Linked DNA regions of Notamacropus eugenii. The protein of the gene in region 1 interacts with the protein of each later gene in a biochemical or structural test. Links are inferred from orthologs where the notes say so. Each region holds a gene or a part of one and is shown in the gene's direction. Other genes may lie near its edges.

Region 1 (7,810 bases):
TGCGCACTCTCTGGTCATTTATTTTCAGATTTGGCACACTTTATAATAATGTGTTTCTTGTATGTAGGTATTATTTCTCCCATTAGAATGTAAACTCATATTTCTTTTTTTGGGGGGGGACATGTCAGTCAGAACGTGGCTAAGGCAGAAAATTGTTTTGTACGTCTATACATATTTGTAATGAATTCTATTTGTTCTTGTTTCCTAAACGACTAAGGAAGAGGAGGAGTGAGGGAGAGAATTTGGAACTTAAAATAAAATAAAACTGAATTTTTGAAAAAGAACAAAAGTTCATTGCAAGTAGATTGTTTCACTCTTGCTAACTCTATCACCCAGTAGAGAGACTGCTTAATACCTGGTTCATTTTGTTTCAGAAACTATCTTGTTGCTGTTCAGTTGTTCTTCAGTTGTGTCTGATTCATCCTGACTCCATTAGAAATGTTCATGGAAGAGATATTGGAGTAGCTTGTCATTTCTTTCTCCAGCTCATTTTGCAGATGAAGAATCTGAAACAGGGTTAAGCAACTTGCCCAGAGTCATATAGCTAGTAAGTTGTCTGAGGCCAGATTTGAACTCAGGAAGATGAATCTTCCTGACTGTAGACCCAGCACTCTATCCACTGTGCAGTATAGCTGCCCTGATTTTTTTTTCCAAATTCTTTTAATTAGAATGGTAGCTTTATTGGATAAAAAGAGAATGATGAAAAAACAAACACAAAAAATCAATGAGCCCAGTTAGCTTCCATGCCTTTTGCAGTTGTGTGGATTCTACCTCTACAATATCTCTTACATACATCCCTTTCTTTCTATTCACAGCCACGGTCCAGGTTTGGGCTCTCATTACTTGTCTTATACTACTACTGCAATGACTTCCTAACCAGTATTCCTTCTTCTAGCCTTTCCTCTCTCCAATGCATTCACCATAGCATTTGTGGACAAATTAACATTCCCAAAACATAAGTCTGTCTGTATCATTCCCCTGCTCAAAAAAATCTTCAACAGCTCCTGATTTTTGTTTCTAGAATAAAATAAGAACTTCTCAGCATTTAAATTCCTTCACAATCTGGCTCTCATCTACCTTTTCAGCCTTATTCTATACTATTCTCTTTCATATCCTTAATTTCCTACCAAACCAGGCTACTAGCTATTGCCCAAATTTACATTTCATCTTGCTTAAGGGTCTTCTCTCATTAAGCAAGCAAGCAATATTTATTAAGTACCTACTATGTGCCAGTACATAAGGGGATGTATGTACTGGGGATGAAAAAAGAGGCAAAAGTCAGTTTCTGTCCTCACAATTTAATTAAGAAGACAATATGCAAACTTATACAAACAAGCTTCATAAAGGACCAACAGGAAATAATTAAAAAAGAGAAGGCATTAAAATTAAGAGAGGTTGGGAAAGGCTTTCTGTAAACGATGAGATTTTAACTGGGACTTAAAGGAAGCCAGAGAAATCAGTAGGCAGAAGTGGAGGAGGCATGGAAGACAGCCAAAGAAAATGCCTGGAGCTGGAGGTGTCTTGTTTGTGGAAGAGTCAGAAGGCCAGTGTCACTGTATTGACAAGTACATGTTGGGGAATAAGGTATATGAAACTAGGTTATAAAGGACTTTGAATGCCAAACAGAGCATTTTATACTTGGTCATGGAGGCAATAAGGGAGCCATCGGATTTTGTTGAGTGGAGGAAGGGAGTAACATAATCGGACCTGTGCTTTAGGAGAATCATTTTGGTGGTTGAATAGAGGAGGATGGATTGCAGTAAGAAGAGACTTAAGGAAGGTAAACTCACTAGCAGGCTATTCCAGTAGACCACACATGAGATAATGAGACCTGAACTAAAGTGGGGGCAGTATCAGAGGAAAGAAGAATATATATACAAGAGATGTTGCAAAGGTGAAATCAACAGGTCTTGGCAACAGATTAAAAATGGCATGGGGGGAGTTGTATAAAAGATAGTGAGGAATTAAGGATGACACCTAGGTTGCCCTAGGTTTTGAACCTGAGGAACTGGGAGAATAGTGTTGTCCTCTTGAGTAATAGGGAAGGTAGCAGCAGGTGAGGTTTTAGGGAGAAAGATAGTAAGTTCTGTTTTGGATATGTGTTTAAGATATCTACTGGACATCAAGTTTAAGATGTCTGAGAGATATCTGGAGATGTGAGACTGGTAGTCAGCAGACACTGGGGCAGGATGGGTAGATTTGCAAATCATCAGCATAGATTTGGTAATTATTCCATGACAGTTAATTGACATCACCAAGTGAAAAAGTATAGAGGGAGAAAAGAAGAGGGCCCAGGACAGAACCCTGAGGGATACCTACAGTTTGAAGGCTTGATCTGGATGAGAAGCCAGCAAATAAGACAAAGGAGTGATCTGACAGGTAGGAGGAGAACCAAGAGAGAGAAAACCTACGTAAAACAGAGTATATACTCAAGGAGTAAAGGGTGATTAATAGTGTCAAAGGCTGCAGAGAGGTCAAGGAGAATGAGGTTGAGAAGAGGACTTTGGATTTAGCAATTAAGAGATCACTGACAATTTTGTAGTGAGCAGTTTCAGAGGAATAATGAGGCCAGAAGCTAGATTATAAGGTGTTAAGAAGGGAGTGAGAAGACAGAAAGTGGACACACCTATTATAGATGGACTTTATGAGGAATTTGGCTACAAAGGGCAGAAGAGATATAGGATGAAAGTTAGCAGAGATGGAAGGATCAACTGGATCCTTTTCAGGCCAGGAGAGACACAGGAATATTTGTAGACAGTAGGGAATGAGCCAGTAGACAGAGGCTGAAAATAAGTGATGGGGCAGGGATGATAGAGGGGAAATCTATTGGAAGAGACAGAATGGAATGGGATCACTTGAACAAGTAGAGGGGTTAGCCTTGGTAAGGACTAAAGCCTTAAATGTGGGACAGAAATGAAGGAGGAGAGAGAGGAAGAAGGTACCCAATGGAAAAGAGATGAGGGAGAGGGGAAAAGAGGGAGCTCATGTTTAAGGGCCTCAATTTTTTCTGTAAAATATAAAGAAAGTTTCAAAGCTGAGAGAGTGGGGGCAGAGGGGGCCATGGAGGTTTGACAAGAGATGGAAAGGTTTGGAAGAGTAACAGTGGGGAGTGAGATAGTGAATTGATAAGGAAGGTAAAGTAAGAGTGCCTAGCAGCAGTGATCAGGAAGGTGTAAAGGGGATATCTCACTCAGCGGAGGACCATTTGAGATTAAGTCACACAAATCTGCAGTACACCCAGTCAGCACAGTTGTGATTTTCTCCAGCTTTGTTTGCCAACACTTGAGTAAGTACAAGTAGCAGACAATAGAACTGATCCCAAGCTGGGTCTTGGCCATGTAGGAAACAGTGATAAGATAAAGGGGCAAAGGAATGGTTTAAATCTGGGGTGGGGAACCTCAAGTTCAGCCCTTTGACTGAATCCAAACTTCACAGAACACATCCCCTTAATAAAATAAATCAAATCAAATAAATTAAATTTGTTCTCTACAACTGGGACTCAGTCAAAAGGTCTCCCCCAAGGATCTAGGGGTGGTCCCCACCCCTGGAAGGGATTAGAAGTCACAGTGAAGCCAAGGAACAGGTTTAGATAAGCCAGAGGGAAATAAAGAATAACTTAGAAGATCATTATCGGATAACCACGCAGGCGGAGCACTCGAGGGTATCCCCACCTCCGTGCCCAGCTGAGGTGGCACGGAGGGGCTGGGAAGTTCCAGTGTTTGAGGAGTACCTCTAGGCACGTTAAAGTCCGATCCCAGCAGGGGATCCATCCCATTGGGAGGAAGTGGGGGGAGGGGGGCGCCGCCGGCAGGTAAGCTCCCACAAGTTTGACTGGGCAGCCACGAGTTTGGAGGCGGGAGATAATTCCAATCCAACTCCCCCCCAGGGCGGGATGGCCGGGGTGCCAGCACGGCGCCTCTTCCCAGTCCGTTACCAGTGACCCTGTACCCGGCATGGTGCCCGTCTCTCAGCCTCCCCGCTCGCCGGCCCCGGCAGTCCCGGGAAGCGCGCTGCCTTCCACGTTCCTCGGCCTGTTACCTACCCATTGTACCCGCTTGTCCCCCAGTCACGGAGCCCGCTTCTAGGACCGAGCCCTGGGGCCCGCCCGGCTCAACCTGCTTTTACAGATGAGGAAACTGAGGCCGGGGGGGTTTGTTAAGTAACTTTCTGGCAGTCGGGGTGGAATCAGGCCGCTCACCCCAAAGCTACAGCCCCTAACTCTCTGTCAGAAATACCTGCTCCCGCGCCTAAAGGAGGGTACGGCAGTAATCCAACCTCAGCTCGCTCGGCCTCCGCCCTCTCATTCCCAAAACTCTGACCCGCGGGAAAAGGGGGAAACGAGAAAAGGCAAAACAAAAAAACAAGCAGGGAAGACCCGAGGTCTACGGGAATCAGGGGCGCGGGCGCAAGCGGTCCTTTTTTCCCTCCAGTCCCGCGGTCCTGCCGGGGAACAAGTTCTGACTAGGTCAGTAGCACAAACATGGCGGCCCGTCTTCTCCCTTTCCCCACCCCCAACCTCCTCCCGTCAGCCGCGCGCCCCCGCCCGCGCCGGGACGAGGCCGCGCGCGAATCTCCAGTCGCGCGGGAGGCGAGCGTTTCCGAGCATTTCCGAAACGGGACCTGGAATTGGAGGCGGGGCTCGGGCCGGAAAGAGCGGAAGCGAGAGGGAGAAGGAAAGTAGAGAGGGGCTGGCCCCGCCCAGATGGGGAGGGCGAAGGGAGCGGCCGCGGCGGCGGCCGCGACGGCGGGGAAGGAGCAGGGGGAGGGGAGGCCGGATGTGAGTGGAGCGGCCATTTCCTGTTTCTCTGCAGTTTTCCTCCAGCTTTGGGTGGTGGCTGCTGCCTGAGATCGCCTTCTAGTCGGCTAAGGGGCGAGGCGGCGTGGACTGCGGTCCCCGTCCCCCCTCTCTCCACGTACCGCCGCTCCCGGGGCCTTCCCCCGCCTTGTCAGGAGCCCATCCCGCCCGGAGCCCGGCGGTCCTCCCCTTCTGCTCCCGGGCAGCCCCGGCAGCCGCCGCCTCCACCTCCGCCGCCGCCGCCTCCGCGGCAGCCCCGCGAGCCGCCCCGATGCAGGCCATCAAGTGTGTGGTGGTAGGAGACGGGTAAGTCCCCTTCCCCCCACCCCCGCCCGCAGCCTTCCCCTCGTCCTCCCGCGCGGCTTCCTGCTCTCGGGGGGCGCGGGCTCGACCTCCGCCGGGGGGTGGGGGGGTACCCTGGGGGGCGTGCGGGGGCGGGGTCCGCCGGGTGTCCGGGGTGGGGCGGAACGGCGGGCGCCCCGCTTCGCGAGCCCGAGGTCGGGGTGTCCGGCCGCCCGCGGAGGGGCTTCCTGTAGGGTGGCGGCTGGATCGCTTGGGCCGGGCCAGCGTTGGAGATACCCCGGGGTGGGGCGGCTGTGGACCGTCCCGGGGTCGGACTCCCGGTGGGGCCTGGGCCCTTGGGGTTAGGCTCGGCCTCTAAGGATCCCGTCCTCAAGTTGGGGGGGTTCTCTTGAGCCCCTCCTCCTCCCCCGCCCGGACACTGTTCTCACTGCCTTCCCCGAGGGCTGGGTGGGAGAGGCCGCCAGCCTCTCCCACTTCTTGTGCCTGGGATGGTGTTAGTTTGTGCTCCGGGGTCCTGCCCTCTTTTTTTTTTTTTTTTTTTGGAAGCGAGGGATTGATTTACCCAACCCAAAGGGAAAAAGTGGGCTCCACCCTTTTGCTCAATTCAAAAACCCAGTTTGGATTTAGGCAGAACTTAAAGTTCATGAGATGAACCTCTGAATCAGAATGCCTGCCTTCCGCCCTCCCTTGTAGGTTAGGTAGAAAATTATTTTTCTTTTAAAGTGTGTTTCTGGTGATTTATAATAACTCCATTTCCTAAATCGAAGTAGCTTATTGAGAGCTAGGTGAGTACTTTAAAAATATAACTGTCGTTAAGGTTGATAATGTTTTAGGGTTAGCAGACTGCAGTGAAGGTGATTGATCTATTAGGTGGTCTAAAATTTTATATACAGGGTTTTTGTAGTCTCAGTTCCTGTACTTAAGTAGTTTTTGCTTCAAGGAAGCCTTGGTTTTTGCTGTTCTTTCGGTAAACTCTTAATGTACTTGTGGTAAAGAAGATGAGAGTGAATTTATTTTGAACACAGTAAGATGTCCAGAAAACTGATTTTAGCCCAATGGGATGCAGTAGAACAAGCTTCCTGAGGAAAAAATTGATCCCTGTGACTCAAGGCATATCATTTCATTACAGTTTGTAGTGTTGCTGGGTTTATGGGAAGACAAGACTTGCCTTATGCGATTTATTTTCCCCCTCAACTCCCCCCCCCCAAGAAACAAATATTCCAGTGTAATCTGAACAAAATTGTGTATCACAGTATTGCTTGTGCAATTTAGAGTTGGTCAGGACTCCTGAAAAATGCTATTAGCCTCATGAAATTTCTGCAACAAATGAATACATTTTCCAGTGTTGTGTTTGAATGTTTTTGTTGCTTAATAATACTCTCCAATAATTAATTACTGCTAGCTTAGTGAGTTTTTTTGAGATCTATATTTGGGTTTTGACTTTGTGCCTCTGTTAGTGATGGTTTTATTAATACCTAGCTTTCTATTTGAAATTTAGATTCTTGAACTGGCTTAAGATGTCTGATTGAAATACAAAAATCGAAAGGCTCGTGAATTTTTATGATAATAAAATTTTAAAGCAATATTCTGAAGGAGTTCCTAGTCAAATATTAAAATGGTAGAACTAGGAACTTGTACATTGGTAAGATAAGTTTAACCTTTTGAAGGAAAACAATTAGTTCTGGAAAACATGTTGAGTAAGTGGGTGTGGAAAATAAAATAAATTTATCTTAATCATGAGGTTGGGGTCCTCCTGTGATTAACTAGTTAAGAAATTTGAATTAATCTTGCAAAGTTTTTTTAGCCTATTCAGTTTCATTTTTCTTTACTGTTGAGAACAAGTTTCTTGTGACAAATTAATACATGGCATTTTTTTTTATTTAACCAACTACCCCTGGTCAGTTCCACATTTAGTCATAATGAGTAACTTGACTTCAAAAGATTTGTGATGTGCTCCTTCTATCAAAATAGAATACAATTCCTTCATTCTTTAAAAGTCGTCCTAAGTTTGCTGAGACCACAAAAATCTAGTGATCAATCAGCTTTCTGGTAATGAGCCTCCAACCTCTATGAAATTAATTAGAAAAACTCTTGTACAACTCGAAGTTCCTCGATAGGCCTGTTACTTGAAACTTCGCTTGCCAGAGCTTGCCTTCCCTGGCGTAGCCCTTGAAAACCCAGCATTACTTCCATGCCAAGATTAGGTATCAGAGCAGCATTTTACTAGAGGAGGAAATAATTTAAGATACTCTAAAAATTAAAACTAGAGGTTTTAGATCAGTTTAGTTTATTTAAATCTAACAGTAATACTTTTATTGATTTTGTTTATGAAATAAAATATGGAATGCCAGTTACATGAGCTATATTGCTAGACATAGGAGATATAAAAGTAAAAATGTAAAAGACCAGTCACTACTGCCCTGGATAGATTGGAAGACCTGAGTTCACTTCCTGTCTTAGACCCAGGGCAGGTCACTCAACTTACCCCACCCCTTAGCTTCAGTTTATCTGTTTGTAATATGGACAATAATACTACCTACTTCACAGTATTGTTGCTAAGGATCACATTAAATAATATATGCAAAGTACTGTATAGATGTTAGGAATTTGTATTCCCCTCAAAGAACTTACTCTATAGTTTATTATTTTTTTGTAATCTTGATTGATTAGGGCTAGGTGGCATAGAAATAAAACAGGAATGCTTTTTAGAAA
Region 2 (7,982 bases), on another chromosome or scaffold:
AAAAGGAATATCTGAACTGTTTAGCTTAATATATGATTTTATGATTGAAACTTATAGGAAACATAAAAGGCCTTTAGCTTCAGAGTGGGCATTTTTTTTTAATCAGGAGGCAACTCTGTGTGTTCAAAGGGTCTTTAGGTCCTGGATGGGAAACAAGGGAAGCTTCTGCATCAGAGATCTGTTGATAAGCTGGGGCCTTAGTCTGACCATTTTACTAGTAGGCATATACAGGGAGTTCTTTGGAAAGTGCAGAATCCAGGTGAAATGAAAAATGCCTAATCAGAAATCCCACAAACTGTTTTATGTTTGATGAGGTTTAAATAGCAACCTCTTAGAAAATTCTAACAGTTCTAAGTTATTACTGAATCTTGTTTTAAGTTTATTTCTATCAAAGGTGTGCTTGTGAAGGTTCTGTGTTTAGCATTCTCTTTATGTGTAGGAAATCAATACCAATCCCAAACCTGATTCATAAGGTACATTCGGTATTTTTCCTTTTGGGGAATTCCTAGACAGGAGGCTAAACCAAAATTTTAAATAATTCATCCCCAGGAGCATTAGGGTAAGGGTTTAATTATCCCAAAAATCTGAGAACAGGGAGTCTAGTCTTCCTCTCATTAGTCTGTCCAACTAACATTAACTGTCTATCATGTATCGAGCACTATGCTGAGCTAAGGATACAAATAAAGGCAAAACAACTAGTCCCTGCTCTCAAGGAGCTCACAGTTTAATGGAGGAGACAACATGTAAAAGATTTTGTACAAACTATATACAGGACACATTGGGGTGATCTCAGAATGAAAAGCTTAATGCAGAAGGTTTAACTTTAGCTGAGACTTGAGGGAAGCCAGGAAAGCTGGAAGTTAAGAGATGAGAAGGGAGAGGGTTCTAGCCAGTGAAAACCCTGAATCAGGATAGGGAGTGTCCTGTGAAAAGATCAATAAGGACATCAGTGTCACTCTATTGGAGAGTATTGGAGACTAAAGCGTAGGAAAACTGGAAAAGATAGGAGCCAGGTTATGAAGAGCTTTGAAAGCCAAACAAGATTTAATAGTTGATCCCAGAGGTAAGAGGGAGCCACTAGAGTTTATTAAAATTTTAGGGGGAGGAAAGTAGCCAGACATGCATTTTAGGAAGATCTATTTAATAGCTGAGTGGAAGACAGACTGGAGACAGGGAAACCAACCAAAGGCTACTGTAGAAATAGCCCATGTGTGATGTGATACAGGCTTGTACTAAGGTAGGTGCAAAGTTAGAGGAGAGAGAGGACCTATAGTTAAGATGTTATGAAGGTAGAAACAATAGTCAACATTTCTTAAGCATCTAGTATGTGCCATACATGTGCTAAGCTATGGGGGATACAAATATAGAAAAAGGCAACTCTTGCCCTCAAGGAGTTTCCCATCTAACAGGGGAAGACAACATACAAAAGAAAGCTGAAGGGGGTTTCAGAGAGGAGGTACCTGGCCCAGGGGCATGGTGAAAAGTCAAAGAAGACCAAAATGAATGCCATAGAATGGGAATGAAGAAATATCTGTGAGGTCTGACTTGTTCCTTTTCCTTAAATGGAGGAGTTTATACCTCCACCCTCCAATCAGAGGGGCAGAAGGTACTGATGAGGTATGAGTAGAAATGATTGAACTTAACTGTACTTGGGAAGACAGAAAGTGAGAAGCTGAGAATGACAGGTTGTATGCCTGGGAGAATGGTGGTCTTCTCAACAGGGAGTAAAGAAGTTTGGAAGATGGAGAAAGAAAATGGTGTGAAAGATAATGAGTTTGGTTTTGGACATGTTTTGTTTAAGATGTTTACTGGACACTCAGTTTGAGATGTCTAAAAGGCGAGTAAAGGTAAAAGCTGGAGTTCAGGGGAGAGGTTAGGACTGGACAAATAAGATCTGAAAGTCATCTGCATAGAGATGATAACTGAAATAATGGAAGTGAATGAGACTGATAAATGAAATAATATAGAGGGAGAAGAAGGGGGATAGCCATTGTTAGCAGGCATGACCTGGCTGAAGATCCAGCAAAAGAGACAAAGGAGTGGTCAGGCTTGTAGGAGAATCAGGAGAAAGCAATGTCAGAAAAACCAACAAATTAACAATATCAGAGGCTACAGAGAAGTAAAAAATGATGAAGACTGAGAAAAGGTGATTCGATTTGGCAATTAAGAGATCACTGGTAACTTTGGAGAAAGCAGTTTTGGTTGAATAATGAGTCAGAAGCCAGATTGCAGAAGGTTAAGGAAAGTGAGAGAAAAGGAAGTGGAGGCACTGGTTGTAGATTGCTTTTTCAAGTTTGGCCACAGAAATGAGGAGGGTTATATAGCTACCAAGGATGGACAGTACAAGTGGCGGGGTTTTTTTTAAGCTGGCAGAGACATGGGCATATTTATAGGTAATAGGGAAGTAGACAACAGACTGGGGGCAAATGAAGATTAATGAGAGGGGGCAATCTGCTGGAGAAGACTGGGTGGAATGGAATTAGCCCCAAAGGCAAGTGGGCTCAATTAGGAAAGATCCCTTGCTGCAGTTGAGATCATGCAACATAAACTTTTAGTGGACCTAGTTAGCAAAGTTTCTTGATTTTTCTCTGACTTCATTCAGTAATGCCTTTAGTAGGAACAAAGGCAGTGAGTGCTGGGAGTAATCCAAGGCTGGAATATGAGAAGACAAACTCCATAATCAGGGTTAATCAGCAAGGGACTGGAGAAGATAGGGTAAAGTTAAACTGGTTCCTAAGGAGGACTAGGTAGGGAAGGAAAGAGAGTATAAGTGCAAGGATGATGGTCAGGGAAAAAACTGAAGGTTTTGGAGGTCAAAATAAGAACAAAGAACAGAGCTTAGAATTGTAAGGCAGAGGGAGAGGTGGGATGAGAACACACTGATCAGATAAAGGGATTTCACAATTTATGAACATAGATATGAAACACTTGTGGATGATGACAAGATCAAAGGTATGACCATCTCTGTATGTAGCTCTGGTATAAACCTAACTATCCTCCCATTGACCTAGATCTGACTGTGTGTCTGGGTCAGGAGCAGAGGGACCCTTTAGTGGAGAAGAGTGAGGATAGTATCTGGTTCTTCAATGTCAGACTGGCATAAAAATAAAAGGAAACATTCAACTTTTTAAAAAAGTTCAATAAAATAATCACTGGTGAAATTGGAAGACAGATTGAAAGTCAAATTCTAGAACCACATTCATGTTTCAGAAGAATGCAAAGACAAAAATCTGAAAGATGACAGAAGAATAACACACAGACGCTAGTGTCTCTAGAATTTTAAGTAACATTCAACTTTTTGGTAGTCTTTAAATATGAATTAGAATTAAATTTAGCTTAAAAGTCACTGTCTACTCAGTTAATAAGCATTAAGCCCTTACTGGCAGACATTATGCTGTCCTAAATGCACCTGTCCTCTTATTATTAATATATTATAATTAATAATATTATTATTCTCTTATAGAGAAACCCTAGCGGGGTTATTTGGGTGCTTAAACACAGCGTGGAACATCTCCACAGCAAAGTGGAAGTCATCTGGTAAACTGTGGTATATAATATTTAGATGGGTTCCAGGGTGGGGAGGGGGACAGCCACAGCCAGGGCTCCTAGAAACCTGGCATCTTTAAGAACTCTGACATTTAGATTCACAGATCAAACATGATTTTAATGCACTTATATTCTAATTTACTACATATAGACAATGTACTTGTTTCAACTCCCCTACTATAACTGGAAGCTACTGTACCTTATTTCACCTTCATATCTTATCAAGTGCCTATCTAGTATGGAAATTTCGTCCACTCCATACAGGTAACTAGCATGTAACTTTTTGTCTTACAGTTGCCCGGTGGCACCGACAGGAGAAATCACTTTAGCCAGGACAGAACTTGAACCAAGGTGTTCCTAACTAGGCAGTTAGTTTTCTGTCCAGCATAAGAAGATGCCTCTGTATATAGCAGGGAGCTCATTAAATGTTCGCTAAATAAAATGATTCATCAGCTACTGACAGATAAGCTAGGTGATGAAATGGATAGGACCTTGGACACGGGAGTCCGGAGGACCAGAATGCAGTTCCAATCCTGCCCCAGACATTTACTAGTTGTTACTTTGTATAAATCACTTACACTCGCTCCGCCTGTTTCCTCACGTGTAAAATGGGGATGCTAAGAGCAGACCTCGCGGTACGTGAGCAGCAGATGTGATGATAAATGTGAAGTGCTCTGCAAGCTTCTGGGAGCTAGACGCTAGCTGTCATGGTCATTAAAGCGCTCTATAAGTATTACTAATAAAACGCTCTACAAATGCTATTATTATTATTATCATACAAGGCTAACTTAAGCGACTTTCCTCAACTGACGGAAAGGCGGGGGAGGGAAAGGGGAGGCTCCCGCGGGGGTGCCTGATTCGCAGACGCCTCCCCTGCCCTCCCCCCAACTGGAGGGCATCACATGCCTAGCTCGACTCTGGGGCATCCCCTGGTTTCCATGGAGACAGGGAAGGGAGTCTGGCCCTCCGGCCCAGCCGGATTCACCCCACGGGCTGTTCTCTGGGAACAGCACAGGCCTCAGGCCCGGCACCGGAAACCCTACCGGGCACGCACAGACACCCCCAAACCGGGGCCAACCGGGAATGCCTCAGAAGTCTCAGTCGCCGCCAACCTCGGCAAGATGGCCGGGCGCAGGCTACTCTCTTTCCTCCAGAGCATTTCTCTATGGTCCTGGCCCGCTTCAGCACCTTCCCTTCCCCCTCCCTCCCCGTGGGTGGGTGGGTGGGTGGGTGGAGGCTGAGGAAGGCCTCCTTCACCTCCTAGCGCCTCAGCCTACTGGGGGAAGGGACAAGTGGTGTGGGCGCTTGCGCAGACCCAGGCCGCCCGCCCGCCCGCTCGCTTGCTTGCTACCGCTTAGAGGCTGGCGAGCGGAAGTCGCGTGACCCCGGAAGCGACTGGAGGGGGCGCGCGGGCGGGGTGGAGCCGGCCCACTCGGTTCGTCGTTAGTGCGGGAGGGAGCGCGAGAGGCGGCGGACGCGTCGAACTCGTCGGTGAGTGAGTGACCGGGCTCCGGGGAGTCCACCCTTCATCCCGGAGCCGCTGCTGCTCTTCCGGACCTCCCCGGGAGGGCGGGACGAGGAAGGGAGAGCCGCCGCCACCGGCTGGAGGGGAGGGACGTCAGGGTGGAGCCGTCGCCGCGGCCGCTGCAGCCTCTGCTGCTGCCTTTGTTCTGCCGCCCCCAGCCTGGGCGCGACGTCTCCGCCCGGAGTCCGGGGTCTGGGGTGGAGGGCCTCGGGGAACTCTGTCCCCAGCCCCGCTGGGAGGCGGCGGCGGCGAAGGCTCTCTGCACCCAGGGACCAGGGGTATCCGCCCGGGCGGAGGCCGCGGGAGGGGCAGCGCAGCCGCCGGGAACGGGGGAGGTGACAGCTGCTCGGGGCTTCCTGCTGGCCCCCTGGCAAGGTGGGGGAGTACGGGAGGGGGAAGCTGCCCACCCATCCCCGCCCCTTCCTCAGCACATCCCTTCCGGCAGAGCCCCTTAGAGGGAAGAGGCTGAGATGAAGCCCAGGCAGGCAGAAAGAGCCAGGAGCTGGCCAGAGGCACAGATGGCGTCCAAGGTGAGCCGCGCCCACGTGGAGAGGAGAGGAGAGGAGAGGGGGCAGCCAGAGGCAGGGACAGGGAGGTCCAGGCTCGGAGGAGCAAGCCCCGGCTCCTGGCAGGCAGCAAGTGGGGCGAGGCGGCGTGCCGAGATTGACAGCCCTTGGAATGGAGGGAGCTCGAGGAGCCCGGGGGGTAAGCCAAAGAGGAAGTGACCCTGGAGGCCATGGAGACTTGGCCCTTGGGATCATGTTTAGAAATCAGTCTTTCCTTTCTGCGCCCCACATTTGGTCTTTTAAAAAAAATCCCCTTTTTTTCGGAGCCACCCACACTCTAACGGCATCCTAGTGAAACTGGCTGCACTATAGGGGGGAGGAAAAAAAAACCAGTAGATGTCAAAGAGCTCCTCCCATTCCTCTGAGCCCCTTGAGGGCAGGGGACTGCCTTTTCCCTCTCTTGGTATCCCCTGCGCTTAGCACCGTGCCATACCACTACTCTGGAGGGGGCCTTCACATGTTTATTGACTGATTGAAAAGAGCTTTGGCTCTCAGTTCCCTCATTTTTTTTAAAAGAGGTAGTTCGACTAGATCTGGGCTTTCTAAACCTTTTTTGTTTGTTTCATGAACCCCTTTGACAATCTGGTGAAACCTGCGGACCCCTTCCCAGAAGAAAGCTAAATTTCAGTTAGTGAAAATAAAAATGAATTTTTCTCCCCACTCAAATTCGTGCATTCCCCCCTCTCATCCCAGATTAAGGACCTTTGGATTAGATGGTTTCTTTGGTCCTTTTCTGCTTTAATACTTTATGAGTCTAAATACTGTCTGTGATTATATCTCCTGTTTCTAAGGAAATATACTACAGGTTGGATTCTTAATATTAAATAATTTCTGGACTGCTTGATTTCTTTTACCTTTGGTTCTAAATTTATGCCTCTAGGGATGTTGGGAACTGCTTAAAATTCATCCTGTTCCCATTCCTAAGCCTGTTTTCTGTGATTGCTTAATTTATCAATATTTAGGGAAATAGAGTTATGGGCTCTTATTCTGGGCCCTGAATCTCGGGGTTATTCTAGGAACTTCATTCTCTTCCCAAATTGTTCTCAGACTGAGGATGATGACCTAGGATCTAACCCTATTTGGGCTTCTGATTTTACATAAGAGCCACATCTCCTGTTACTTAGATGATTTCTGCAAATCCAAATGCAACATGAATGGATTGTGGTTTCATGGTGATGCTATTGAGGGATTGGGATGGAAGGGCAAGGAGAAATTTTAAATCAATAAGCATTTATTAAACAACTGTGAGGTGCCTCACATTGCTAGATACTGATGTTACAAAGACAAAAAAAGGAAACTTCTGCCTTTGAGGAGGAGCTTAAGGTTCAATCAGGGGAAACCAAATATGCACCTAAAAGTCTATATTGAATTACTTTATATAAGGTAAAGGTGGTATGAAAGGCCTCATGAGGGAGGGCTTGGAAGGGAGAGAGGCATTCTAAGAGGATCCACCACGCATGGAACAGCCTGTTCCAAAGCATTGAGGCAAGAATTGGAAAGTTGTATGTACAGGGAATAATAAATATCAAGTAGGTCAGTTTGACTTGGACCATAAATTGTTTGAAGGGAAGTAATATGTGATAAGTCTAGAAAGATGTGTTGAAGCCAGGTTGTAAAGGGCTTTAAATCTCCATACAAAAGAATGTTCAGTTTTATCCTAGTGGAAGTAGGGAGCCTCTGGACTTCTTGAAAAGGGTAGTGACAGGGGCAGGTTCTACTTTAAGAATATCCATTTAGCAGGTTTTTGGCTTCCTGGATGTAGAGCAGAGACTGGAGGCAAGGAGACCAATTAAGAGGCTATTCAGTTAATCAAGCAAGCATTTTGTAATTCCCTGTTATGTATCAGGCACTGTGGAATGCAAATAAAATAAATGAAATAATGCCTCTTCATAAGGTGGTTATGGTGTGGTGAACCCAGATACCTGATAGTTGAGGGATGGAAAACTTCGATGGAAATGGTGGTGCTTGAGCTGGGTCTCAAATAAAGAGGTTCTTTCAGTTGGAGGTAAGGAAGGATTGCATTCCAAGTATGAGGAACAGTCAGTGCAAACAAGGTATGCTGTACATGGGAGATGGAAGTGTCACTTATGAGGAACAGAGGAAAAAGGACAGTTTGGTTGGATCTCAGAGTTTGAGACAGGATATTATGTCTTACAAGGCTGAAAAGATATGATAGGGCCAGGTTGTGAAAAGCAGACAGAAAACCTTTAGTAATCCAGGCAAGAAATAGTGAAAGCTTGAACTACTCTGATGTACTGTTATGTGTAGAGAGAAGAGTATAGATGTGAGAGATGCCATAGAACTGGCGTGGGGAACCTGTGGCCTTCTAGGGCCTTAAGTGCAGC
Region 3 (7,726 bases), on another chromosome or scaffold:
ATTTGACCTCAGGCACTTACTAACCGTGTGACCCTGAGCAAGTCACTTAACCTTGTTTGTCTTAGTTACTTGTCTGTAAAATGAACTAGAGAAGTAAATGGCAAATTCTTTGCCAAGAAAACTCCAAATGGGGTCACAAAGAGTTGAATATGACAGAAATGACCAAAACCCAACAAAATTATTATACACATATATGCACAGAGATATACATGTATACATGCATACATACATGCATATTTATTCAAGGCTGGTCGATATCATACTTTTGCTCCAGTTTCTTACTATGCCTGGAATGCCCTGGCTCCATATTTTTTTCCTGTTTTTTAAAGCTGAACTCAAATATCACTTCTTAGGAGAAGTCTGTCCTGATCTCATGTTGACCTTTTCCCTTGAATTACGCATAGTTTGCTTACTGCTGTTTTTTTCTTGAATGTTTCATGGATTTTGTATAATAACTATTTGTACCCATGCCATACCTCTTCACTACACAAACACCACTAGATTAGGTTCTTTGTCCAATCCAAACTCACATTCACATGGAACCTTCATTTCCTCTTCTTAAAAATGGGGGTAAGAATATTCACAAAACTTTTCTCAGAGTTGTTGTGGGGAAATTTCTCCCTAAAGTTCTTTTTACATTTGCATTTTAGTATTAGTATTGTTACTATCCAAAATATACTTTCCCATAACCAGTTAAAATTCTGGTTCTTAGAGCTGAATCTTGCCTGTCCTATTTTAAATTAGACTTATTTGGTCTTCTTGTTTGATCTTACTCAGATATAGGAAGCAAATTTTCAGTGTTCTCTACATTAGAAACACCTTCCAAATACCTGAAGGATTCGAAAGGATTTTCCTTCCCTTGACAACTTTAATTCTTTCAACCTTTTTATTTAAAATCTTAATTTTATTCCATTGATTATTTTGCTGTTTTTCTTTTGACACTCTTTTATATATCTTTTGAAGTGTTGTTACCTCAACTGGTTACAATATTGATTAATTCATAGTTCACCGGATAGATTTTTTTTCCTGCTCCTTGCACAGTCACTTTGTTATATCCTAGCGCTAGGTGGACATTTTCCTGCTACCCAATCTTCCCCCAACTTGGTTGACAGGCAACATAGCCTAGTGAATGGCATAGTGGACTTGCAGCCAAAAAAGGTCTGGGTTTGAATCTTACCTTTGATAATTGTAAGTCATAAATTTAGAGTTAGAATGTACCTTAAAGATCATCATAGCAGCTGCATGACTGTAGGCAATTTAATGAACCTCCATACCTCTCTAGGACTTATCTATGAAGCCTAAAATATCTACTATCTACTAAGTCATAGTTGATGATATTTTATTTTTGTCTTAATGAAAGCTCCATTACTTATTCTATTTGAAATACATCATAATTTAAAAGTCCAAATAATAACCATTTTATCAAGACATTTTAAATTTTATTCCTGTCCTTCTGAGTATTAGCAGCTCTGCTTGATCAATTCTTAGGAACTTCAAAAGATTTTTGATTTAATGGATATTCCCACCATCTCTTGCCTTAGTAGATATGTCAAGATTTGCCCTTGGCACTACCCCTCACCTGCCCTCCATCACTTGGTGGTTAACTTTCTGGCAATGAGGCTCTTTGATCTTAACCTAGGCTGGTCCTTGGATGACAGTCCCATGCTCACAGCTTTTCCCACTTTATGGTAACTTAAGCATCTAGAACCCTCCCCAGGCCCCAAGGAACAACATTATCTGCAAATGTATTGATATTATTCTAAATTCCTTCTGTGGATCATCTTAATAGTAGTAAATACAAGGGAGGAGGGAAAGATTTTTCTGGAAATCTTAGCTTAGGTTAATAATACTGATAATTAGCATTTGGTTAAAACTCTTGGACCAGATATTTACCTCCCTTTTCTTGGTCATCATATAAGGAAAGCAGCATAATTTATGTTTATTTAGCATAATCATGAGGATAAGAAGTGGACCTTAATGCTAGTGCCTTCTCTCTGTTGGTTATCTGCAACTTATTCTGTATCCATCATTTGTACATGGCTGTTTGCATGCTTTCTCCCCCATTCCCACAAGACTGTAAGTTTCTTGAGAGCAGGGACTACATTTTGCCTTTCTTCGTATTCCCATCATTTAGAGCCTGGAATACAGCAGATGCTTAAAAAATACTAGGTGACTGATTGATTTCATTAGAATAGGGAATTTCCAGATGAAGAAATTCCGTCTACCAATTCAGGTTGTGACTGTCTCTGTGGCTTGTCGTCTGAGAACTGTTTACAGTACTGAAAGGTTAAATGATTTGCCCAAGGTTGAATAACCTAGATGGACCAAAGGTAGGACTTCTTGAACTCAGGCCTTTCTGGTTTGGGGGCCAATTCTGCATTCACTATGACATACTGCCTCTCTGTATAATTATAGGGACATAAAAACAGATTCGATGCCTTGATATGAAAACAATATGGTATTTATTGCCATTTTTGTCCAAAAAATCAAGCTGCTTCTGGCATTATTTTGAGTATTTACATACAAATGTGAATGAATATTAAAATAATGAAGAGGAAATAGAGGCAGTAAAGTTGAACCAGAAAACATAGGAAGAATGGTATTAATTGCCTACAACAGTGGAGTACTGAATGAAAGCAGAAGTTGAGGTAGGGGAGAGCATTGTAAAGTTCTTTTGGATATTTAAAAATCTTATATAGCTTTCCAGTCCTTTCCATAAACTATCATTATGGAAAGTCACAAAAAAAGCAAACAAGGAAAACATTGGCAGACTGTAGACATAATGAGTGGAAATAAATGTAGCAAAGGAAAGCCAATGCTTTAGCCAGCATATTCTATTTCAATAAAAGACTTGATTTCTCCTGTGAACCGTATGGAGATGAAAGAAATGTGTAAATATCATTAGCCATTTCTTTCTTTTTCTTAAATAAGTCTTTTTTTTTTTCATTTACACAGCATGTTTTGAAGCTAAGGCTAGGAAAGAAAGAAAAATGATACCAGTTCCTAACTGACCATCCCCACCATGCTCCCACATGCTAACCATGGGCTGTATGCCCCATGTCTACTCTTAAAGTTCTTTGTAGAAAAAAATTGACTGGATCTAACTGTGACATTCCTCCCAAACCAACTTAAGAAATCAATCAAACCCAATATTGATTAAATACAAAATAAGTCTTCCTTATGTCTCTGTGTAATACCATTTCTGATTTTTCCCCTAGATTTTTGGATCGAATATCTCCATTTAAAATGGAATAACTACCAAGTTTCTACTAGATATTCTGTCCTCACCCAAACCTCTAGAAGGGGCCACTAATTGCCAGCAAGCCACATTAACCAACCCTCCACTAGGGGACACACAAGACTCAAGCTGTACTGAGTTAGATTGCAGTTCACGTTCACAGGGACACACAGCATTATTGAAAACCCACTCCTGCCCAATTTAGACCCATGGACATGGCAAAAAAAAGTATATTACGTGATTGTTGATTTGTAACAGTGAGGAGAATGCCACGTATTTGGGGCCCCCTTCCTCACCACTCACATTTAAAAAAAAAATAAAATTGTCATAAATAAAAGGAGGAGGGAGCATTATGGGAAACTTTGGGTGGTTGGTTTTTTTTTTTTTAACAACACATTATAAAAATCGAAAAACCGTAAGTCTTTTTAAGCAAAGGAGTGAGGCATAAGGACAGAGAATGAAAGGAGTAAAGGAAGATTCTTCCAGATGGTGTCTCCTTAAAATTGCCCAGGCAGAAGCGCAAATGGTTAACATATTGTATAAAGGAAAGTGCACATGGGCACCTCGCACTTGTACAGTTCGAGGATAAAAGGCTGCCACCCGCGACTGAAAATGAACTAGTTTCTCTAGAGGTCAAAGGGACTTCTTTCAGACGGTGCTTCCTTGGCTGAGATGGTACAGACACACTATACCCAAAAAAAGACTTTACATGATATACACCTGACCAACTAAAGATATTTAGCGTCTAGATCTGTGAATTCCTCTATCCCACGACCACATTCTACACTGGCACTTGGTCCAGGACGTCAGCTGCTGGATAAACCTTTGCAGACTGGCTCTGGAGACACGTCTTTGTATCTGTGGGTCGTGCTGGAACGCCAGCACGCCTCGGATACCCCAGCCTCGCCCCCCGGGCGCCTCTGCTAGGGCCCGTGCTCATGGCTAGAACACGCTAAGACGATGACAGGATGTGGAGCTGGTGGCAAACGGCGTCTTTTCTTCTCCTCCTGTCAGTGATGTCATTGGGCGACAGCAGCTGAAGGAAGGCTCGGAGGAGGAGGAGGAGGCGCCCGGCTGTGGCTGCTGCTGATGCAGGTTCATGTGCATATAATGAAAAGGCACTTGACAGTCTGCCAAAACGCACGAGAGGGAGAGAGGGAGAAACTGGACCTGCTGGATTTCGCAAAGCCAATCGTCATCATCTGCATCTACATGGGGAAGGAGGAGGAGGAGGAGGAGGGATCAGCAGCTCCAGCCGCCGCTGCTCCAATGTGAAACCACAAGCCAAAAGGGGGGGATCCAAAAAAAAGAGAGGCGGCGGGGGGGCGGGGGGAGAGAGGCGGCTCCGTGGGCAATTCTCTCCCTTTTCCCTGCGGATTCCTCTTCCTCCGGCAGCTATGAATTCCGCCGAACAGACCGTTACGTGGCTGATTACCTTGGGGGTGCTGGAGTCGCCCAAAAAAACCATTTCGGACCCGGAGGGCTTTTTGCAGTCGTCTCTGAAAGATGGGGTGGTCCTCTGCAGGCTGCTGGACCGCCTGCTCCCTGGGACCATAGAGAAAGTAAGTGCAATATCTCCTCTCCACGCCTTCCACCGCGCTCCCCCCACCGCACCCCACCCCACCGCACCCCACCCTGCCTACCCCCACCCCCTGCTCTCCTCCACAGAACTGATCGTGCCAGCCCTGGCCGGATGGTGTGTTTCACCGGAGGGCACACACACATCTACACACCCCATTTTCTCTCCACCCCCCGCCCCTTCCTCTCCCTTCCAAGGCTCGACCACCTCTGCCGAAGCCGGGAAACGCCTTTGAATGTGCTCGGGCACAATGACCTAACCTCGGGGCTGCTGGGGCGTGCGGGGAAGCGGCCAGAGGGGCCGCGCTGCCCCGGGGCGCTCTGCCTGCCTCCCGGCCAGCCCGCCCGGTCTGGGGACTTCGCCCTACGCACTTTCCTTTGTGCGCTGATCTCCCTCGGAGAGCCGGGTCAGCGCGGAAAGCGGCGTGCGGCTTCTGCGGGGTGAGCAGCGCTCCCCCAGACCCGGGGAGCGGGAGCTCCAAAGGCGCCATTGTGTGGGGGACGTGGGGAGGGGGCGGGGGGGGCCGGGCCCGGAGCGAGCCGAGGGGCTTCCGAGGCGGCGGCGGGGGCACCCGGAGCCCGAGGAGGCGCGGCGGCGTCCAGACCTAGCCATGCGTCCGTCCTCTGTCCTCTGCCACCGCCGCCCACCGCTCCGGCTTTGGGAGGGAACCAGAGTCCCCCCGCGCAGACTGGCCATGACTTCTGCTTCTCAGACGTTATAAAAAGTCGAGGGGGCTCCAGTTCCGTGACCCCACCGGAAAAACCCGTTTGGATGCGGCACCGTCTCCCGAAGTGCCACTCTCGGGACCAAACCTTCGGTCACGCTCAACAGTTCAACTTTTCTCTTTTTGGGGGGAGGGGGAAGAAGAAGGAGGGGGTCTAAACGCACTGGTTACTTTGTAATTCTCCCCCGCGTGCACGCAACAAAAGCTGGTTAATTACTTCGATGTAGCAAGAATTCCTCCTGTAGTCTGAAGGATCTTGGGATCCCTTCAGTTAAAACCCCTAAACGTGTGAGTATTGGTTTAAGATGCTTGAATTTTATTCCCAGATTTAGACCTTGGATCCGAGCAGAACTGATCTAGCCCTAGAGACCCTGTTACTCATAATGTCTGCAGCCAATAAGCTGCACACTCACTCATTCAGAGGAACATATGTGCGAACTTTGACCTGCTTATCTTTGAGAGCCTAAAGTTTATCTTCATGCTGGACAGGAAGATGAGAAAAGGGAGGATCCGGTGCAAAGGACTGCACAAAGGATGCTCCCTCTTTTAAATGTCAAATTCTACTTCCAATTTTTTTCTTCTGTGAAACAGCATTAAAACTAGTGAATAATGATTATAAAAAGGTTGAATATCTAAATTTGAACACTTCAGAATTAGAATGATGTCTGGAAAAGAATGAATTATATATTTTTAATATTTGTATACTATATATTAGCCATTCCAAATAATGAAGTAGCACTTTAATCATAATACAACACAAGTCGTTTATAGTCAAATATTATAGAAAGATACATTGTTACAGAACTCACCAATAAGTTTGAATATGTCCTTTTTCTTTCATTTTAAAAGACAAATCTTCTTTATTGATAGCAGATTATGAGAATCAGAAAATATTTATGGGGCACTTACAATATAGAAAAGCGCTCACTATTACAAGTACTTGGGGGATCCAAAGATGAACCATATCACATGCTTTCATATTTTTCTTGCTAGGGAACAACTTCGTAAAAAATGACCCCTCTTTTTTTTTTTTTAAATGAGTTCATCCTATTCTGCCTGACCTTGAAATAAAAATGTTTTGCTTGTAAATGATCCTAATGTCATAATAGAATTGTGATTTAAGATAGGAAAAAAGGAGTAGGAACTAACTTTTCAGAAACCCCAAAGACTTTGTTATCATTTAGATATCAGTATCTCTGGTAATAAAAACCAGATGAGAAGTACTGAAACTAAATGATAAATTAGCAGAATTATGGACAGAAAATATTTGTTATAGGTTCTAAAAGCAATACTTTAAGGAACTTAATCTTTTGTGTTGATAGCAAACACAGTTTTCTAGAAATGTATACTATTATATATAGGCCTCTAGAGTTATTTTAACTAGTAAATTTTGGTAATCAGTGGTTTCGAGTTAATATTTCTCTTTAGATTATGGAAAGGTATTCTTTAAAAACTTCAGAGATCACCTCATCTATTGAAAAAAAGTAGAGGGTTATAAGTTAGGCTTATAGAAGTCTCAAATAAAAAGTATCAAAATGAATGCTAATATTGAGACCCAGCCCTCTAAAGTCATTGAACAATCACTTTAATTGAGTATTATTTTCTCATTTTCAGAGATTATAGTGTAAGATCATCCTGTCATCATATATGATGAAATTATAAACTAAGAAATATCCATGGTTCAAAAAAGACTTTCTAGGGGTAGAACCTCAGTTTTGAAAAGTTCTCCTAATCAAGAGGGATGTCAGAGGAATTATAAATCTACTTCTTTTCTTATACAAAGTTATTCATTTAAAAAATATTGCTGTACATATCAAATAGCATATGCTGTAGTGCATACAATTCTGATTCGCTTGAAAGTAGACTATGAGATGGAATAATTTTTCCTTTAAAATGAAAAAAATCTGAATTTCACTGCATCTCAAATGTTGAGATGATAGACAAGGGGGAGGGGCATGCAGTCTGTGCTTGTTTTCTTTAAAATTTAAAGGATCTGAATCCTTGCCACTATACCCTGCTTCACCAAAATAATTTTAACAACAAATATTTAAGCAGTTTTGTAGCTCAACACTAGCAATTCACAATTTAAAACTATTAGCTTTGGGGAAGGGCACTCATTATTCAGGAAAGTTTTAAGGCTGGCTAAGCATTCTCAGATGTCTTTAATTAGGTAAAGCATTTGCTG
Region 4 (7,546 bases), about 380 Mb from region 1:
CTGAGGTAGATGTGGGAGGGGTTGAGAGGCCAAGCAATACAACCCACCCAGTTATGCTGTAGAAAAAGAAATTAGGGCTAAAGAAACCTGCCTATGGTCACCCAGGTAGTTAGCAGCAGAACTGAGATTTGATCCCAGATTCCCTGTCTCCTGATCTGCACTGCCTTCTAATGCCCCACCTTTTTACTGGGGGAAATCTGCAGATTTACAGATGGGTCAGTCCATTGAGAGGCAGCGTAGAGGAACTTGTCTCCTAGGCTTGTTGTGAGGATCACATGAGTTCATGAAGGTAAAACACCTTATACACTTGTCAGTCCTGTAGAAATGCTGGTGAAAGGTGGCCACTGAGCTATTCTTGAAAGTTTGTTGTTTTTGATGCCCAGAACAGGGACAGAACTTTGCCACAATGCGTAAAATGCTCCTTCCCTCTAAGGGTCACTGACTCAACCTCCAGATTCACATTTTCTCCCTTGGGTTTTCTTTTGCTTTTAAATTACAAAATAATTGTAAATCAAGTCTGTTACAGGAAGTAAAATAGCACATGGTGTCCAGTGTTCTGCTTGAGAGGAAGTAGAGAAATCCTCATTATCCACCCCCTGTCCAAAGCCTACACCTACAAACCAAAGGTAAGTTTGTGTTCTTTACCCTTTGAATCCTTTTTTACTCAGAGAAAAACTAGGGCCTGGGACCCTCCATTGCTCAATACCTTCTGTTACCTGGTGGACAGAAGTGCTTCCTTAGGAACAGCTGCCCTTCCAGGAATTGACAAAATAGCTATCATACTGATGAAGAAGTGGGGTAGAAGGAGGAGAAGTATTAGTTAGTATTTTCTTCATAGCCTCACATGGATTCTTTTAGCTGGGTACTATCATTGTACTCATTCTACAGATGAAATGAAAGTTATTGTGGTTGTGACTTGCCACCCAGCATCTGAGGCAAGATTAAATAATTCAGCTCCATCAACACCTTGTGGAGAAGGCCTTTCTTGGCATCTCCATCTGAGAGTGCTTCCTTATTCTGAGGTCACCTTGTGCTTGCTTTGTTTGAGTCCTGTATATATATGTATGTGCACATACTTTGTTTCTCCCAATAGAATCTGAACTCCTTCAGGGCAGAGACTTTTTCATTTTGTCTAGCACAGCACCTGAAATGTAGAAAGAAGGACTGAGGTTAGAACTATGATTTCTTTCAAATAGAGAACTTACAGGTGAACAAACTTCCTCTGTCAATTCATTTTTTCAATTTTTACTCTTAGCTACCTAGGGTATAGAAACTCATGGACTTGCCCATAGCATACAGTCAATCTGTGCCAGAGGGCATATTGAACCCAAGTAGGCCCAGCTTTCTAGCCACTACATCAAGCTGCCAGGCACATTGTTGTTCAGTTGTGTGCTACTCTTGTGACCCTGTGGAGCACACTGTCTATAGGGTTTTCTTGATAAGGATACTGGAGTGGTTTGCCATTTTTCTGTCCAGTGGATTAAGGCAAACAGGTTAAGTGACTTGCCCAGGGTCACACAACTACTAAGTGTCTGAGGTTGGATTTGAATTTAGGTCTTTCTGACTCCAGTCCCAGCTCTCTACCCACTGCACCACCTAGTTGTCCCATCTATGTATTAGGCACATAGCTAATATCTATCTAATAAAAATGTGTTGGTAGACTTTGTGGACCACTTCCCTATTCCTTGACTTTGTCTTCTTAAAGGTAGTGTAATGGAAAAATCATTGCACTTAGGAATTAGGAGGGAACTAACTTTGAATCCTTCCTCTGACATCTGCTGTGTGATCATAGACAAGTTATGTAAACTCTCTGAGCCTCATTTTCTTCATCTTCAAAATGGGGATAATAAAATCTCTAGTACTCACCTCATTATATCTATGCATCTACCCATCCGTCCATCCATCCATCCATCTATCTATCTATCTATCTATCTATCTATCTATCTATCTATCTATCTATCTATCTATCTATCTATCTACCTCCATGTATCTTATGAGGAGGTTCATTATTTTTGGTAGAAATTACCCACAGGTTGGTGAGCTACCCATGTGAAATGTGCCATGCCATTAGTGAACAAGTACTTTGTCGCTGTTGTGTTGTGGTTTTTACTTTGTTAAACATTTCCCAATTACACTTTTTAAGTTAATATTCATTTTAAAAATGATTCCAAATTCTCTCCCTGTCTCTAGCTCCTTCTTTCTGATTGAAAAGGCAAACAGGCAAACCGATTTACAAAGAAGAAGGCACTAACTGCTACCAAAAAGAATGAACCTCCTCATTTTGTAGATGTGGAAACCACAGTTTCCTCCAGAAAGGTGAGTGACTTTCCTAAGGTCACATGCAGGTAGTTCACAAGAGAACCAGGATGGTGAACCCAATTCTTCTAATAATAAGCTTACTGGTGAGGTAGGTGTATTATTCTCCCCACCCCCACCACACCTGCATTTCATAGATGAGGAGATGCTTCTGACAGGTGGTGGAGGAGGGATTTGAACTCAAGGCTTTCTGACTTTGTGCCAGAGGGCTGACTAAGTTTTGACTCTAAATTAGTGCGTCCCACTTTTCATGAACCCAAATCAGGGTTTCTTGGTAAAGATACTGAGGCAAACAGGGTTAAATGACTTACCCAGGGTCATACACAACTAGTGTCTGAGTCTGGATTTGAACTCAAGTTCTCCTGACTCCAGGCCTGCACTCTACCCGGAGCCACCACAACCTCAGTTTTGATTCTAAAAACAATGTTCTGCTACACCAGCTACCCATCTGAAACAGATGACCTAAGCACTCACACAGCTGGATTTCAATTTCAAGCCCAGTTGTTAAATGAAAACGAGTGTGAAATTAAACACATACACAGACAGACAAGCTTTAGCTTAAATCAGCCTTATAAAAGAGAGAGACAAGCAGGCTGCAATTATTTAGCATTTATTATGCACACACAGTCTGTGAGGCGCTGACAGATCTTGGAACCTGGCAGGATTTGGTTAGTGTTCATATGTCTCTAGATAATTTATAAATTAACTGTGTCCCTTTAACCGTGTTTTTAAAAAATGGCACTAGCCCAGCGTACCACTTTCCATTTGGGCATATAATGAGACCACATCCATTCCTTTAATGTCTACTTTTCCTTTGATCTAACAATTTCTGTTCAAATTTCACAGTTTTGCCTGCTCTTTCCTTCTAAATGAACAGGTTGCCCTGCTGGGAGCATGAAATAGGTTTGGGTTTTTAGAACCTGCGTGATATTCCCTTCCAGTGAAATTGATTTCGCTTTAAATACAGCGGAATGGCGAAGCCCTTATCTTTAGGTGTTTTTTTCTCTCCCACCTCAACAGTTCCTCAACCTGCAAGGACACCCACTGGCCTGCTGCTAAGTCTTACTTAGCGAGAGGGTTTATTTAACGCGCTGCTGGAAAGCCCCCCACCCCCACCCCTAACGCCTTTTGACGTCTGGGCTTTGTTTGGTTCATGATGTTTCAATCTCTCTTGCTTCTTAGAAATCCAACCTCCCTAGCGGTCCTAGGCACAGGTGGGGTGGGAGGATTGGTCCAGCTGGGGCTCCGGCTAGACTGGCCACCAGGAGTGGTTGCGCCGTGGGGGTGCGCGAGCCATCAAGCCCAAGGACAATCGGGGCCCAGGGTCGGGGGTGGGAGTGGAAGGTCAGGACACACCGCTCCCCCAGCAGGTAGCCAGCGCGCTCCCTTCTGCCTTGCCTTCAGCCTTCCGGGACCGCGCCTTCCTCAGCTCCCCTTTCCCAGGGAGAAGGCTTCAGTGGTGGCCCCGGCTCTTGGAAGCCTCGCTTTAGAATGATGCTCCAGATCAGACCCACAGGCGGTTGTGCTCTAGGCTGCCTGACCCCGAGTTTGTCCTTGAGGCTCGGGAACCTCTCTTTGGAATGCTGGACATTATGGAAACCCAGGGAAGCGGCTCTCGTCTTTGCGCCGGTTTGACCCTGGTCTGGCCCGGGGTTCGCGGGGTTCTGATGTCTGCCACTATTGGTGCCTCCCTTTAAGCCTCGAGTTCTCATTCTCGGTATGTGAATTTAGTTTAGAAACAGATTATAGGTGTATCTCTATATGATTGTCCTCCTTTGGAATCCTACATATTTTATTTAGTGTATTTGAAATCATGGTTCTGAGAAGTCTTTCTCAGGTCTCACCAGACGAAATGTCCAAGGAATGAATACATAATGCCAAAAAGGGAGAGCCCGTTTTAGAACATCGGGCTAGATCAGCCCCGGACTCACGCCCGCTTCACCCAAACACAACGCCCGTATTCGGGATGGGGGCGCAGGATGCAGATCGTGGAGCCCCCTTGGAGAGTTGTACTGGGTTGGACTGACCTGGGGCAGCCGCACTCTATCCGCCCTTTCAACCCAGGGCTGAGTCCTGGCGCTGATGAGGCGTGGAGATAGCCTCCACCTGGGCAAGGAACGTGGGGCAGAATCGTGCCCACTGGAGCAGCCGGACTCGGGTCCCAGGCTCCCTGGAGGACGTCGGACTCACCTGGACACCAAGCATCTAGCAGCGCTAGAGCTGCTCTGCCCTGGGCCCCCGAGTGCCCTGCGGCGGCGGGGCTGAGGTAATGAGGGCTCGGCCCGAAGGGCTCGCACCTATCTCGACTCCTTCGGGCCCAGCCTCTCCTTTCAAGCCCGCGCCGCCTCGGGCTGCAGCCCGGAGAGTTGTTTAGCTAGCAGCCGCCTGGCATCGCCGCCGCGGCCGCGGCCGCTCCTTCCCTGTTCCTTTGTGTGGGCGCGTGGAGTGGAGGAGGCGGGACGAGGGGGAGGGGGCTGAGCCTCCTTTCTGTCTGTCCGGGTCGGTCGGTGTGTCTGCGTGTGTGTGTGTGTGTGTGTGTGTGTGTGTGTGTGTGTGTGTGTGTGTGTGTAGGGGGTGAGTGTCACCTCCTTCTCCTGGTGCTAACTGGAGAGGAGGCGGGCACCGAGGGAACCAGGGCTCGGCTCTCCACCCGAGCTTGGGACCCATCTCCAGAGAAACTCAAGCCGGAGCTGGGGCTGGGGCTGCGGCTGGGACTGCCGCGGGAGGAGGACCTGCAGCGCCCGGGCTACGTTGCCCGCCCGCCCGCCTACCTCGCTCCCCGGCTCTTCGTGGCTCCGCTCGGCTCCGCTGGCACCTCCCGCGGGCCGCCCAGAGCCGCGCGAAGCGGAGCTGCGAGGGGAGGAAAGCTCACTTAAATAGCGGCGTTGGAGGCGCGTCATCTGGCGAAGCAGGAAGTGCAGCCCCGTCCCGAGGGGGGAGGGGGGGAGGACGCGGCGCTGGCGAGGGAGGCTGGGAGGAGACCGCCGCTCTGCGCTCTGCGTCCCCAGCACTTTGCCATGGGCTGGGGGCAGCGGCGGCGGCAGCAGCAGCAGCAGCAGCAGCGCCAGGACCGCGGAGGCAGCAGCAGCACCAACGGCAGCAGCCACATCTGGACCAGAACCTAAGAAGGGGCGACAAGGGGGGAAATCCAGCGAGGGGGTGATGGCAGCGTCCAGCAACTCCAGTTTGTCTGGCTCCTCGGTTTCCTCGGGTGAGTTTCCATCTGCCGGTGGTGGCCAGCTGGCCTCAGCGCCCCTTTCCCCATCCCTTGCCCCGAGGAGTCTCGGTCCTGATCCTCGCATGTGGGCGCCGATATACCTGGAGCCGTGCCCGTCTGCCTTTTCGCAGGCGTGCCACTTGTTTGGGGGAGGCGGCTGCTTATTTCCCAGAGCCGAGCCATCGCTCGATCTGTCTTCCCCGGGGCAGACGTGGGAAAAGGAGAGAGCGTCCTTGGGCAGCGAAGCCAACCTCCCCTGGGGTCCTAGGATGCCCAGAGTCCCGGAGAGTAGAGGGGAAAGCGGACTCAGACTTTCCCCACCCAGCTCCTTGGGGGTTGCTGCCTCCGGGGGGGGGGGGGGGTCGGCTGGGGATGCTAAGCACCCCAACGTTTCCCACTGCTCTGACTGCCCAATTCCTAAACCAAAGAAGAGTGAACCCCCTTTCTTCGCCTACCAGATTTTCTTTGTTTGTTTCAAAAATTAGTACAGTGTAGACTGTTAAGAGACTTGTGCGTGCACGGGGCATGTCTTAGATAGAAGGAATGGTGGGGTTTATCTCTTGTTCTAAACCGCTTAAAGGCGAGCAAGCTGCTCACTCTTTGCTGTTTTACAAGTGGTGTGTGTGTGTGTGTGTGTGTGTGTGTGTGTGTGTGTGTGTGTGTGTGTGTGTGTGTGTGTGTGTGTGTGTGTGTGTGTGTGTGTGTTGGCTTCACGCTTGTAGGTCTTTTTTGGAGAGCTACTATGCACACTTTTACCTGCCCTGAGTGAACGAACACAGGCTTGCCGCTGCTCTGAGGTTGGTCAGCCGCTCTCCAGAAAGAGAAAAACATTGATCAGGCGAGCGGAGTAGCAATCGATAGAGGCGGGTCCGCTGCTTTCTGTGCATGACAGTTTTCTAATCAGGGTGATCCTCGGAGGACAAGAATCCCTCTCAGGTCGTTGAAAACTTTAATGACAAATGCCAAAGTGATTCAGGGTTCTAGGGGATGGAATATCAAAGGAGTCTGGCACACGGGGACATCGTGAGTCTTGATGGAGTCACTGAGTATATTGATGTGTGCGATTTTTCCCAATTGTTAGAGCCCTGGCTAGGAAATTCGCACCAGGGGGCAGACTGAATTCGGGTGCTTCTGGTGCGGTGATGAGTGGCTGGAGGATATTTCCTCCAGCAGGGTTTTCTTCCCCGGCAGAGGGTGTCATAATATACATTCCAAAACAACACTGTTTAAATCCCTAACCAAACAGGAGATGGGGAGGGCTATGGTCAATGTCAGAGTGATATATAACATTTCCTGTTAATGGGAAGTCCATATATCAACCTCTCAACCAGGATACATATAGATGTGTATATATACATACATACATATGTAACACATATTATACATTATATTTATATATTGTATTGTTATAGATAATAATATGTAATATATTCAGTTCAGTGTAATGGAAAGAATGAAGTGAGAGGACCTGAGTTCTAATCCTGTGTGATCTCAGGTTCCTCTTCTGTAAAATGAAGACTGGATTGTCCCTAAGGGTTGCACCAACTAGATCTCTACATTTACCAGGTGCACTGCCCTCAGTTGTCCTCTTCCCCAGTTGAATTTGCAATGGGAGCCAGAGAATGGAGGAAGATGGCCAGGAAAATAGAAGCCTAGGAGCTGTTGACTTGGGGACAGCCATTGGGAAAGAAAACAGGAACTGGTGTACTAAGCAGCCTCATCTGGTTGAGAATCATGAAGCATGAGGGATAGTGGTTCCTGAGAAGAAGAAAAAACTACTTAGTGAGACATAGCAAAAATTGTCCTGCCCAATTTACAGATTTCTCTCTGTGTGTATGTATATGTATGCATATATTTGACATCAGAAGAAATTTGAAGCCATTAAGAAAAAGAAAAAAACCAAGCCTTTGTTAGCCCTGAAAAATCAAGCAGTCAGAAATTGGGCTTTATCTGCGGAAGTAACTAATTAAATCATGATATGCAGGACAAATTTTACTGTAGTCACTTTGTCAT

The links.
Region 2: the proteins of RAC1 (region 1) and ARHGDIA are reported together in a solved structure, tested with the Homo sapiens proteins (2 studies listed by BioGRID and IntAct, with this or other methods). The link is inferred for Notamacropus eugenii from reciprocal best matches to the Homo sapiens genes RAC1 and ARHGDIA.
Region 3: the proteins of RAC1 (region 1) and ARHGEF7 form a complex in vitro, tested with the Homo sapiens proteins (2 studies listed by IntAct). The link is inferred for Notamacropus eugenii from reciprocal best matches to the Homo sapiens genes RAC1 and ARHGEF7.
Region 4: the proteins of RAC1 (region 1) and CHN2 form a complex in vitro, tested with the Homo sapiens proteins (2 studies listed by BioGRID). The link is inferred for Notamacropus eugenii from reciprocal best matches to the Homo sapiens genes RAC1 and CHN2.

The regions. Positions count from the first base shown.
Region 1 is NC_092874.1:396,153,877-396,161,686, forward strand, and holds the start of RAC1 (ras-related C3 botulinum toxin substrate 1), read left to right. Parts: upstream 1-4,758; 5' UTR 4,759-5,066; coding exon 5,067-5,101; intron 5,102-7,810. UniProt on the Homo sapiens protein: Plasma membrane-associated small GTPase which cycles between active GTP-bound and inactive GDP-bound states.
Region 2 is NC_092873.1:325,952,425-325,960,406, reverse strand, and holds the start of ARHGDIA (rho GDP-dissociation inhibitor 1), read left to right. Parts: upstream 1-4,933; 5' UTR 4,934-5,037; intron 5,038-5,516; exon of another isoform or gene 5,517-5,601; intron 5,602-7,982. UniProt on the Homo sapiens protein: Controls Rho proteins homeostasis. Regulates the GDP/GTP exchange reaction of the Rho proteins by inhibiting the dissociation of GDP from them, and the subsequent binding of GTP to them.
Region 3 is NC_092877.1:211,259,038-211,266,763, reverse strand, and holds the start of ARHGEF7 (rho guanine nucleotide exchange factor 7), read left to right. Parts: upstream 1-4,563; 5' UTR 4,564-4,635; coding exon 4,636-4,800; intron 4,801-5,024; exon of another isoform or gene 5,025-5,174; intron 5,175-7,726. UniProt on the Homo sapiens protein: Acts as a RAC1 guanine nucleotide exchange factor (GEF) and can induce membrane ruffling. Functions in cell migration, attachment and cell spreading. Promotes targeting of RAC1 to focal adhesions. May function as a positive regulator of apoptosis.
Region 4 is NC_092874.1:20,083,911-20,091,456, forward strand, and holds the start of CHN2 (beta-chimaerin), read left to right. Parts: upstream 1-4,435; 5' UTR 4,436-4,582; intron 4,583-5,324; 5' UTR 5,325-5,478; coding exon 5,479-5,527; intron 5,528-7,546.